Macaca fascicularis: one gene and its partner. The protein of the gene in region 2 interacts with the protein of the main gene of each other region in a pairwise test. Links are inferred from orthologs where the notes say so. Each region holds a gene or a part of one and is shown on either strand. Other genes may lie near its edges.

The links. The genes of interacting proteins can lie anywhere in the genome.
Region 1: the proteins of TMEM239 (region 2) and CXCL16 interact in a two-hybrid assay, tested with the Homo sapiens proteins (2 studies listed by BioGRID). The two-hybrid records come from large-scale screens. The link is inferred for Macaca fascicularis from reciprocal best matches to the Homo sapiens genes TMEM239 and CXCL16.

What each region holds. Positions count from the first base shown.
Region 1 is NC_088390.1:4,833,280-4,839,318, reverse strand, and holds the start of CXCL16 (C-X-C motif chemokine 16), read left to right. Parts: upstream 1-2,391; 5' UTR 2,392-2,941; coding exon 2,942-3,083; intron 3,084-3,424; coding exon 3,425-3,563; intron 3,564-3,834; coding exon 3,835-3,917; intron 3,918-6,039. Other genes in the region: ZMYND15 (zinc finger MYND domain-containing protein 15), read right to left, coding at 258-741, 1,184-1,772. UniProt on the Homo sapiens protein: Acts as a scavenger receptor on macrophages, which specifically binds to OxLDL (oxidized low density lipoprotein), suggesting that it may be involved in pathophysiology such as atherogenesis. Induces a strong chemotactic response. Induces calcium mobilization.
Region 2 is NC_088384.1:84,489,518-84,495,311, reverse strand, and holds the start of TMEM239 (transmembrane protein 239), read left to right. Parts: upstream 1-1,989; 5' UTR 1,990-2,022; coding exon 2,023-2,103; intron 2,104-2,193; coding exon 2,194-2,700; 3' UTR 2,701-5,794. Other genes in the region: C10H20orf141 (uncharacterized protein C20orf141 homolog), read left to right, coding at 862-1,121, 1,217-1,454.

The DNA of each region.
Region 1 (6,039 bases), on a different chromosome or scaffold from region 2:
CACAGTGGGTGGTGGGCACCTAGTGTTAACCTCTGTGGGCCCTGTCTGCTGTCCATCTGCCCAGCAGCTGCCCATATGTCCCTCGGTCTGTTTGTCTTACACCCTCTAACTGCCTGTAATAGCCTGTATTGTTTCATCTGCATCTTCTCATGTCCCTGCCCCTCCTTCTGTCTGCTAGGCGCCCCCACCACCCTGCTTTCTTTCTATTTGCCTGACTGTTGGGATCTTCCTCTCCCCGCAGCTTTTGGGCTGCTCACCAGGGTGTCAACTTCACTTCAAAGCTGTGCCTGTGACACACGTGGCAGGTTCGAGCGCGAAGGGAAGCAAAGGTGAAGCCTGGCCGGGGACCCCATGTCCGCATTGGGGTCTTGGCTAACTTCACACCTAGCCTTGGGACCAAGCTCTCCAGCTCTCTAAATAGGGGGGAAGACGGAATCAGGCTGGCGGGGGTGCTTGGGAATCCAGGGCCCCAGCCCTCCCCAGCCTCAGATACCAGATTTCTATACCGATGCAGCCGGGCATCTCCCACAGTAAGCTGTTGGGGCTTTCGGGGGTCCCCAGAGCCCATGGGACAGGCCATGCTATGACAGAGGAGAGCATAGGCCCGAGGAGCCAGGTTCTCAGTCCCTGAGCCCCAGCTGGCAGTTCCCTGGGCTCCATCCACTAGCAGATCAATGCCCAAGATGGTGCCATGCTCATCCGTCACAAGCAACAGACAGGAAAGGTGCAGGGGGGCAGCCTCTGGGGAAAGAGGGAAAAGTTGAGGTGGTAGGGGACAGCGAGAGACATGTGGTCAGGGTCAGGAGTAGCAAACTCAGATACCTACAGGGGCTAGGCAAGTAACCTCACCGAGTAAAGGGCACTGGGTAGAGAGCACACACTCCTTCTAAAGGGGACAGCTGCTACAGAGGACCAGAACGCGCTGCCATGCACAAATGTAGGCCCCCTGTCAGAGCTTGAGATTTTTCTTGGGAATGTGTAAATCCAGACTTCTGGATATTTTTTTTCTCGTAATGTTTAAACATTAAATTAAAAAAAAACAAAACCCACTGTGGGTCAATAAAAACACCTTTTCAGGCCAGATTGGCCTGAAGGCCAGCACTCAGAACTAGTGGCAGGGGAGGGCTTCTGAAGGGAGGATGGCTGGGCAAGAGGTAGGGCAGGGCCAGCCCTGGGTTCTTACCACTCCTCTGTCCCTTGGTCTTCTGGGGTCTTGTTTCATTCTCCACCCTGTCCTCTCGGCAGCCATCTTTGCCACCTCCTGCCTCCCGGTCAGCCTCCTCTGACTCTCCTGGAGGGTTTGTTTCCTGCGGGGACTCCCTGCTGCTAGGAGCTAGCTCCCGGTCCTCCTCTGGTTCCACCTTCTCTGTGCCTGCACCCCCTTCCTCTCTCTTCTCTTCTTCTTCATCTTCCTCCTCTTCCTCCTCCCCTTCCTCCCCGTCCTCTAGGCTGACAAAGCTGACGTAGGGGCTCAGGTCTCGCAGGTGGAGTGGAGGGTCATCTCCCAGGAGCCGGGCAGACCCCAGGCCTGGTCCAGGACCTGGCTCTGCCCCTTGCCCCAGGCTGATGCCCACACTACGGTTGGGCAGGACATGGAGCACCCAAAGCGCAGGGTCCTGGGGCAGCCTTCTGATCTGGGCCTCCAGCTGCCACCAGCGGCCCTCAAGGCTAGTCCCTACAGCTCCACGCTCTGCCACAAACTTTCGGAACCAGCCGAAGAGAAGGGCAGCGAAATCAAGGAACTCATCCCGGTATCCAGACACAAACTCCATGTCTTCAGGCGCACAGGGCCCCGGCCCAGACTGAGCAAAAGAAGGGATATATGGTGAGGGACAGGAGAGCAACGATGGAGTTTGGGGCTAGGTCACAAATTTGGGGGAGAGGGTAGGTTTGAGAGTCACTTAGGATTGGATCCACGAATATGCTAGGAGCTGAGAAGAGGGTTTTCAGGGCTGAGGATGGGAGTTCAGGGAGGAAAATGGGGGCTGGACTTGAAAGTGGGTGACCAGAGTTGGAGAAGACTACTCAGGGATGAGATGGTATTTGGGGCTTAACATTGGAGAGTTCAGACCCTCAAAAGCAGAGTTTAAATTAAGGCTAGAGAGGAGAGAGGGCTAATCCTATCGGGAAGGGTTTGGTGGGGAGGGAAGCATTTTGGACGTGTCCGTCGGGTATGGGAGTGGGAGCGAGGGTGTTCCCTGCGCTCGGATCGGCGTGACGGGCAGCCCCGGTAGACCTAGCCCCTCCCGACCACCCCAATCCTCCGGTACCTGCAGCCGCCACCACTTTTCGAAGGTAAATACCTCGGGGTGGAGGGTGCGCGGGTGCGGTCGTGACGTCAGGGCTGCCCGAGCCCTCGCCGGCTGAGCGGGCGGCCACGCCCCCGGGCTCGGTGCGTCCGCGGGTGGTGGCCCCGCAGGTGCGCGCGGCCGGGGCTGGCGGCGACTCCCTCCACCGGGCCGCCCGGGAGGCTCATATAGCGCGGCTGGGTCCCGCGGCGCCGGGAGCGGGGAAGTGAAAGTGCCTTGGAGGACGAGGGCCGGTCCGGCCGTGCGGCCGCCTCACAGGTCCGCGGGCGCTCGGGGCGGGCGAGGCGGGTGGCCTCCTGAACCGAACCGAATCGGCTCCTCGGGACGCCGTCCTCCCGCCCCTCCTCGCCCGCCGCCCGAGTTTTCTTTCGGTTTCTTCCAAGATTCCTGGCCGTCCATCCACGGAGCTCGGGCCCAGTGCGGGGGCGCAGGGCGCGGGAGCTCCTCCTCCCGAGTTTTCCCTGTGGCCAGAGGCTGGCACGGCGCGGGCCGGGTACTGAGCGCACGATCGGGGCGCAGCGGGGCCGGGGGCTGCAGCTGGCTCGCGCCTCCTCTCCGGCCGCGACCTGGCGTCGACGGCCGCCGTCTCCTCCAGTCCTTGGCGAAAGCCATTGAGAAACCAGCTGGACGTCATGCGCCGGAGCCTGTCTGGGAGTCAGAGCGCGGCGGCTCCATCCCCGCAGACTCCGCGGAGCCCCGACATGGGACAGGCCTTGGTGCCCGGGGCCCGCGCGCTCCTGCTCCTGCTCCTGCTGGCGTGCCTGCCTCCGCCAGGTTAGCCGGGGGCGGGACAGGGGACCCAGATTCCCCAGTCATGGGAAGGGGGTGATTTGGGGAGGGGACATGAGGCCCACGGAGTTGAGTTGATGAAGGCAGCGGGGACAAGAGGAAAGCCAGCCAGCCGCTTGGGGTTGGGGACAGAGGCCCCGGGACACCTGGCTCCGGGCGGGATTATGGATGTTGTGGGGGTCGTGATAATGTGTGGGGTGAGCCTGGCGCTCTGACCCTGGGTCCACGGGAGAGGCTGTCATGGAGCTGTGGATTGGAGGCCAGGGAACAGCGGAGTGGGGACCCTAGGCCTGGGAACGCGTGCTGACCACCTCTGTCCTGCTCAGGCAATGGCAACGAGGGCACCGTCACTGGAAGCTGTCATTGTAGTAAAAGAATTTCTTCTGACTCCCCGCCATCGGCTCAGTTCATGAATCGTCTCCGGAAACACCTGAGAGCTTACCATCACTGTCTACACTACATCAGGTAATTTCACCTGCCTCTGCGAGCGCCTGCGCGGCCCCTCCTTGCCAGGTGCGTCCAGGACCCTCTCTGGTCAAACCTGAACTCCTTCCCGGCGCACCTAGCCCGATCTCCGGGTTCTGTTTGCTCCCATTCCCCGAAATTTCATGACTCCGTAGCACCTACCGGGGAATTTCCCAGTCCCAGCAGAAAGGGCTCTTGGTAGCGACTTAACGCCTTTGGAATGAGGAAGGAAAGGAGGAGCCGCAGCTGAGCCCAGGTCTCTCCTCCGCAGGTTCCAGTTGCCTTCCTGGAGCGTGTGTGGGGGCAGTAAGGACCCATGGGTTCGGGAATTGATGAGCTGTCTTGATCTCAAAGGTGAGACTTCCCCACTGCTCTTCAGGCTCTGCCTCCAGGGCTTAGCGGGTTCCACCTGACCGTCTTCTTTACCTGAGGCTTTTCTCCTGGGGCCGCACATTCCCAGAACCTTCTTCTGATCCTGTCCAAAGTACTTAGACTCAGTCCCCGTTTGCCAGCGGGTTGATCATTCACCATCACCTTCATGATTTTTGCCAATTCATTCTACCACGTGTGCTATTGTCTACTTATTAATATTTTTCTTGAAATCAAAGTACTATTTTATTTTATTTTATTGAGATGGAGTCTCGCCCTGTCGTCCAGGCTGGAGTGCAGTGGCACGATCTTGGCTTGCTGCAACCTCTACCTCCCAGGTTCAAGCGATTCTCCTGCCTCAGCCTCCTGAGTAGCTGGGATTACAGGCGCGCACCACCAAGCCTGGCTAATTTTTTTATTTTTAGTAGAGACGGGGTTTCACCATGTTGGCCAGGCTGGTCTTGAACTCCTGGCCTTGTGATCCGCCCGCCTCGGCCTCCAAAAGTGCTAGGATTACAGGCGTGAGCCACCACACCTGGCCTATTTTTCTTTTCCAATATTTTATTATGAAAATTTACACATATACAAAAGTTGAAAGAATGGCACACTGAATATGCAATGCCTCCACCTAGATTCGACAATTTTATTTATGTATATTTTACATATTTACATAAACATATATTTTACACTATCAATTTTACAGCACTTACACGATATTTGCTTTATTAAGTATAATCTATTCATCCTTCTATCCATCATCCATCACCTTATTTCTCGATGCATTTTTTTTTTTTTTTTTTTTTTGAGACGGAGTCTCGCTCTGTCGCCCAGGCTGGAGTGCAGTGGCCTGATCTCAGCTCACTGCAAGCTCCGCCTCCCGGGTTCACGCCATTCTCCTGCCTCAGCCTCCCGAGTATCTGGGACCACAGGCGCCCGCCAGCTCGCCCGGCTAGTTTTTTGTATTTTTTAGTAGAGACGGGGTTTCACTGTGTTAGCCAGGATGGTCTCGATCCTGACCTTGTGATCCACCCGTCTCGGCCTCCCAAAGTGCTGGGATTACAGGCTTGAGCCACCTCGCCCGGCCATTTTTTTTTTTTTAATGGAGTCTTACTCTGTCACCCAGGCTGGAGTGCAATGGTGTGCTCAGCTCCCTGCAGCCTCCGCCTCCCAGGTTCAAGCAATTCTCCTGCCTCAGCCTCCCAAGTAGCTGGGATTACAGGCGCCCGCCACCGTGCCCGGCTAATTTTTGTATTTTTTTAGTAGAGACGAGGTTTCTCCATGTTGGTCAGGCTGGTCTCAAACTCTTGACCTCAGGTGATCCACCCGCCTCAGCCTCCCAGAGTGCTGGGATTACAGGCGTGAGCCACCATGCCCAGCCTCTTGGTGCATTTCAAGGCAGGTTGCGGACATCGTTGTACTTCATCCCAAGACATTTCAGCATGTATATTAAGTAGAGTTCAATATTTTAATGCTTTCTTCTCTTTTGAGTTCAAATTTACGTACAATGAAATGAATTACTTTTAAGTGTGCACAAACTAGTTTTGAAAACTTAAGTAGAGGCCCCCAGATCTTCCTCCAAATCTCAACTCGCGAGGCTGGAGAGGTCGGGCGCGGTGGCTCACGCCTGTAATCCCAGCACTCTGGGAGGCTGAGGCGGGCGGATCACCTGAGGTCAGGAGTTTGAGACCAGCCTGACCAACATGGTAAAATCCCATCTCTCCTAAAAATACAAAATTAGCCAGGCATGGTGGCAGGTGCCTGTAATCCCAGCTACTTGGGAGGCTGAGGCAGGAGAATCGCTTGAACCTGGGGGCGGAGTGCAGTGAGCCAAGATCACGCCATTGCACTCCAGCCTGGGCAACCAAAAAAAAAAAAAAAAGAAAGAAAGAAAACTTAAATAGTAAATTATCCTAAGCAATAACATCTGTGAAGTCACAAGTTTGATGCACTGGTTGTATTTTTCTCTTAAAATAAATATACAACCTTTAAAATACAAAAGGTTCTTCCATGTCCTAGCTAAAGTTTTGTATGATCTGTGTCATCCATACTGCCTTTAAGTCTGCCTAGACCTACATGATTTCCTTTCATCCTCCCAGTTACCCTGGCC
Region 2 (5,794 bases):
GTTCATTTTCCATTCATATAACTCCATTCTCAGTTATAAGTTCATATAACTCCATTCTGAGTGTAACCTTAACCTCTAATATGTGGGTTACTAGGTCATAGTCCTCTTAAATTCATGTCCTCTACCTCATTACTGGAAACCCAGTATGCATAATACCCACTATAAACTGTAGTGCTTAGAACACCTGAACAGCCCCCTCCTCTCCCACCCCCATTTAGCAGGTTATATGACAGCCCCGCCCCAGAAGCCTCAGGCAGTCTCCTGGCAGAGCCCATCTCTGCAATCTGGAACTGCAGGCCTGAAAAATCCCCCAGAAGGACCCACAGGGAAGATAGCTGGGGACAGAGATATTGAATGACTTGCCCCTGGACATGCAGCTCTGCAAACTCACAGGAAGAAGAAAGCAGACCTTGCTCCCTTGGACAGATGCCCAAATAGTAATGGGGTTAGAATGCCTTCCTGACAACTCAGATCCCCAAGGGAGGGCCCTAGGGCAGAGAATTAGCAAAGGCAAGAGGATGAGTCTTAGTTCTCAGAAATCCCTGACTTCCCAGCTAAGCCCCACCTAGGCCACCAGCTGCTTATGAGGCTAGAGCAGCAGCAGCAGCCCCCTCCCTACCCCACGGCCCCACCTGGCAACAAGTCACAATGCCCCAGGTGCCCAGTCCCAGAATGCTGACCAAAGTGGGAGGAAGTGAGGAGGGTTTGGTGGGTGAGTATGGGGGAGGGGGAGACTCTGCAGGAACCTAATTCGCCACTCCGAGCTCACCCTTGTATCTGCCAGGGCCCTACCCCTTCCCCAACTCCCATTCCTGTAATCTTTTTCAGCACTAGTTCTTCCTGTCACCTCCACCTCCCTCCATGACCCGGCTCTGCTTACCCAGACCCGAAGCCCTTGAGGATCCGATCCCAGTTCCTCCTAGGGGCCTGGGTGCTGGGGAGGGGTTGGGTAGTCCAGTGCATCCACGTGTGTCCTCCTGGGGCCCTAACTGGGCCCAGCTCCTGGACAGTGTCCTAGGGCTGGGGGCACTAGGGCTGACAATCCGGGCAGTCTTTTCCACAACTGGCCCAGCCCTGCTGCTGCTTCTGGTCAGCTTCCTCGCCTTTGACCTGCTCCATAGGTAAGTGGGCAACAGCCTGGCAGGTGGGCATTGTAGGCGGGCAGGCCAGTGGACAACTTCCCTAAACCCAGCTGCCACCCTCTCTCTCTCCACAGGCCCGCAGGTCGCACTCTGCCACAGCACAAACTTCTCACGAGGGGCCAGAGTCAGGGGGCCGGTGAGGGTCCAGGACAGCAGGAGGCTCTACTCTTGCAAATGGGGAGAGTCTCAGGACAACTTAGCCTCCAGGACGCGCTGCTGCTGCTGCTCATGGGGCTGGGCCCGCTTCTGAGAGCCTGCGGCATGCCCTTGACCCTGCTTGGCCTGGCTTTCTGTCTCCATCCTTGGGCCTGAGAGCCCCTCCGCACAACTCAGTGTCCTTCAAATATACAATGGCCACCCTGCTTCCTCATGCCCCCTTTTCTCCTTCCTGGCTGGGCAGGTGGGACAATACCCCTTTCTTCCCAGCCTGAACCTCACAGGGCCTCCAGTCCTATAATATAGGTATCAGATACCCGGGTCTGAGTCTTGGGGCCGCCAGAGAAGGCAGGATACAAGCCAGGGAGCCTGGGGAAGAATGTGGCAGCCATCTCAGAGCCTGTGGGTTGGGGGCAGTCACTCTGACCTCCTCTGTGGCTCTAGAGAATGAACGTCCAGACAGAAAGACTTGCAGGAGAGCAGGGTGGAAAGGGGTGGGTATCAGCCAGCAGGGAAAGCAGGGAAGGGACGGGGATCCAGGGAGGGCTTCCCATGAGAAAGCATGAGAAACTACATCTGCGGGGCTCTGAGGCTCCCCTGCCAGCCTGGAGGGTCTGTGCAGAGGGACTCGGGTGGGCCTCACACCCTGCAGTGACTCCTCTCTTGGCTGGACCCCACCCCAGCCCGGGTCACAAAGGGGCTCCTCTGGGAAGGGTGGGGGTAGATGAGAGTGGGGACTTGGATTTGCCTGCCAGGCCGTCCTGGGTGCTGCAGGAAGCAACATGACTTAGGTAACTGCCCAGAGGTAAGTCCCAGACCCCAACTCTGTTGCCCCACCCCACCCACACTGGTGCCCTCCTGACCCCTGTACCCCCTCTCTGCCCCCCGCCCCGAGGTCCCAGGCATCTCCAAGGCCCTGGCCCTCTCCCCAGGTGCACCAGCCGTGATGCAGCAGCCGCGAGTGGAGACAGATACCATCGGGGCTGGCGAGGGGCCACAGCAGGCAGTGCCCTGGTCAGCCTGGGTCACAAGGCATGGCTGGGTACGCTGGTGGGTGAGCCACGTGCCCCCGAGCTGGATCCAGTGGTGGAGCACCTCGAACTGGCGGCAACCGCTGCAGCGCCTGCTGTGGGGTCTGGAGGGGATACTCTACCTGCTGCTGGCACTGATGCTGTGCCATGCACTCTTCACCACTGGCTCCTACCTACTGAGCTCCTTGTGGCCCGTCGTGGCCGCCGTGTGGCGCCACCTGCTACCGGCTCTCCTGCTGCTGGTGCTCAGTGCCCTGCCTGCCCTCCTCTTCACGGCCTCCTTCCTGCTGCTCTTCTCCACACTGCTAAGCCTCGTGGGCCTCCTCACCTCCATGACTCACCCAGGCTACACTCAGGATTTGGATCAATAGAAGGGCAACCCCATCCCACTGCCTGTGTCTGTTGAGCCCTGGCCTAGGGCCTGAGACCCTGTGGGGAGAGGGAGGGCAATGGGATAAGGGCCCCCTGCCTTGGCAGGCCCCAGACCCCCAGTCCCGAACAGGTAGACTGGCCTGACCCCGGACTCCTTCCTCAAGTCAATGCTGCAGGTTCCTGGTGTGAGGGGCTGGGGCCTTTGAGAAGAGCGGGCAGAACAGATGGCTTAGCCATTGGTGGAAATTGCTTAGCCAGGGGCAGAGCTTGACCAAGCCACTGACAGTGCCCATATGGATGTGATGATACCCGTGGGGCCCTCTTGGCAACTGACAGCATCTTTTTTTCACAGTCACTCAGCTGTCTCAGCTTCAGACTCACTGAAAACTTCTACCTGGGCACCCCTGGCCTTGCCATTCCTCCCAGCAATTCCCTTTTTTCATTTCCAGGAGAACCACAGACTCTAGAGAGGGTCCCAGTGACAAAAATCTATCAGGGAGAAGGCTGGCCAGAAGCCAGGAGACCTCAACTCCCTCGCCTCCAAACCTTGCAGCCCAGGCATCCTCCTCCCTAGACTTCCTACTTCCTGCCTCAGTCCGCATCCCCAAGTCTGAGAAATGGGCCAACTGGGGTCAGACAGTACCTACTCACTCTCTAAGAATCCCAAGGTCTGTTATGGGAAAATGATCAAGAAGTCTCATTTCACCCACTTACACAATGTGTGGCCTTGGCCAATTAATTCATTTGAGTCTCAATGTTAGGTGGGCCACTTCTGTCATGGGGTTGTTGTGAGTCAAAGACAATATCTATTTGTGAAGCATTTTGTCAAAACCAAAAACCTGTAAGATGTTGTTTTCACCTCTAAGAACATTCGGTAGGCTCAAAAGATCTTTTGACCCCAAAGACTGTTGAAGGAACAGGATGCTTCTCTGGGCTTTCAGATCAACTCTCTGTCCTGGTTAGAATTTTGGCCCTAAAATGGTAAACAAGAGGTTGGTTAAGTGTGGACAAGATATAAAAGGTCATGTGCCATGAAATCTCAAAATGTGCACATGTTGAACTATTTTGATTATGAAATGCTTGGGCCTGGGGCTGGGTGCCAGGAGATGCTTGCACAGCTGTGTAAGTGGGGAAAGCACAGTCCCAGGGTTTCCAAAACTGACCCAGCAAGCCGCTCAGGCACCAGAAGGGCTTTGGAAAGGGCAATCCTTTGATGCCCTGAATGCTGGCCATTCGTTCACTTGCTGGCCCCTCCAACAAAACATTGAGTTATTACCAAGTAAGCTACATGATAGACAACTTTATCCACACCTGACCCCCACCCAATCCCTGGCCATCCCCAACTCCTGCCCAGTTCTGATCCCTGCTTTATATATAACCCTAAAATCCTTGCTCTTGAAACCCCAGACCCAAGGTCCTCTTCTCTTGCCCCATAAATACTCAGGGCCTTGGGGTTGGTCCCTAGAACCCTGGTTCATTTTTGCCTTAGAGTTTTGCAACCCTCCATGCCACTGATTACATGCCTTCAGCATCAGTGCCAAAACCCAAGGTCCAGTCCTTCCTTTCTGTTTCTTTGTATTTCTCCCTGCATTATGGCCTGGTAGCGAGAGCAAGGTAGGACATGGGGCTGACATAGTCTCATGGTTAGATGGGTTTTGGTGTATGAGCTGAGGCTGGGCTTGAATACTAGCACTCTCACTTACTAGCTCCATGCCCTTAGTGGAAATTGCTAAACCTTCCTCAACTTCACTTTCCTCATGGATAAAACTAAGCAAGAACTCCTGTCTTAGGGTTCTGGCATGTGAGTGAAGGACCTGGGACCGCTCCTAGCACCACAAATTATAGCTATGCTGTGACCATCCCATTTTAGAGATGAGAAGTCAGGCCCAGGATAGCCATTTGCCAGTGGCAAGGCCAGGCCATCTGAGTCCTACCAGGCTACTCAAGAGAAGGTGAAGGGGGCAAAGGAAACACAAACAACCTGACTAACTGAAGACCCCATGGCTTCTCAAGAGCTCCTATCAGAGCTAAAGCCCAAGCCTAGGGAGGTTATGAGTCAAACCAATCTAGATGTCTGGCGGGCTGAGGATTCAGGATCCCATGTGGTGAGGGCGGAGACCAGGTTGCCTGGCCTAGATCCATCATTGACTTGGCCATGCATTGCTAGCCAGAGACATTGCTCTGGAGCCTTGGGTCCATTCCAATGAAGAGGGAGAGGAGTCTTGGGCCCTGACCAGATGCACTGGTGGATGGGATGTGGGCAGCAGCAAGGAGAAGACCTTCTTCCTTTCCCCGCAGAATATATACCTTTTACCCTTCTGCCCAGCTGGTATGGGGTAAGGAGGTGCAGCCAGACTGGAGAGCAGATGGGCAATACTCATCACATTGGATCAGCATATACCCTAGGACCCAGAATCCCAGAATGCATTTTCACAGAGGTCTATAAGGGCCTTGCTTCTCAAAATGTAGTCCCAGAATCAGCAACATAGGCATCACCTGGAAGCTGGTTAGAAATACAGTCTCAGGCCCTGCTGCAGACCGGCTGAATCAGAGCCTGCAATTTTTTTTTTTTTTTTTTTAAGACAGAGTCTTGCTTTGTTGTCCAGGCTGGAGTGCAGTGGTACAATCTCAGCTCACTGCACTCCACCTCCCAGGTTCAAGCAATTCTCCTGCCTCAGCCTCCCAAGTAGCTGGGATTACAGGCGCCTGCCACCGAGTCTGACTAATTTTTGTATTTTTAGTAGAGACGGGGTTTCACCACGTTGGTGCCAGACTGGTCTCGAACTCCTGACCTCAGGTGATCCACCCGCCTCAGCCTCCCAAAGTGCTGGGATTACAGGCATGAGCCACCGTGCCTGGCCAAGAGCCTGCATTTTAACAAGATTCCCAGGTGATACATTGCACCCTGTTTGAGAAGCGAAGCATAAGGGGGCACTATGAGAATGCCTATTGCACTGTTACTAGTGGGAGCAGGGTAGGTAAAGGGAAGGGTAAAACAAGGCAGATGGGCCCAAGGGGCAACAGTTAGAAGGGGCAGAAGGTACATGAACCAATCTTAAAATCCTAGCATTGAAAAATAAATGGAATGAGAAT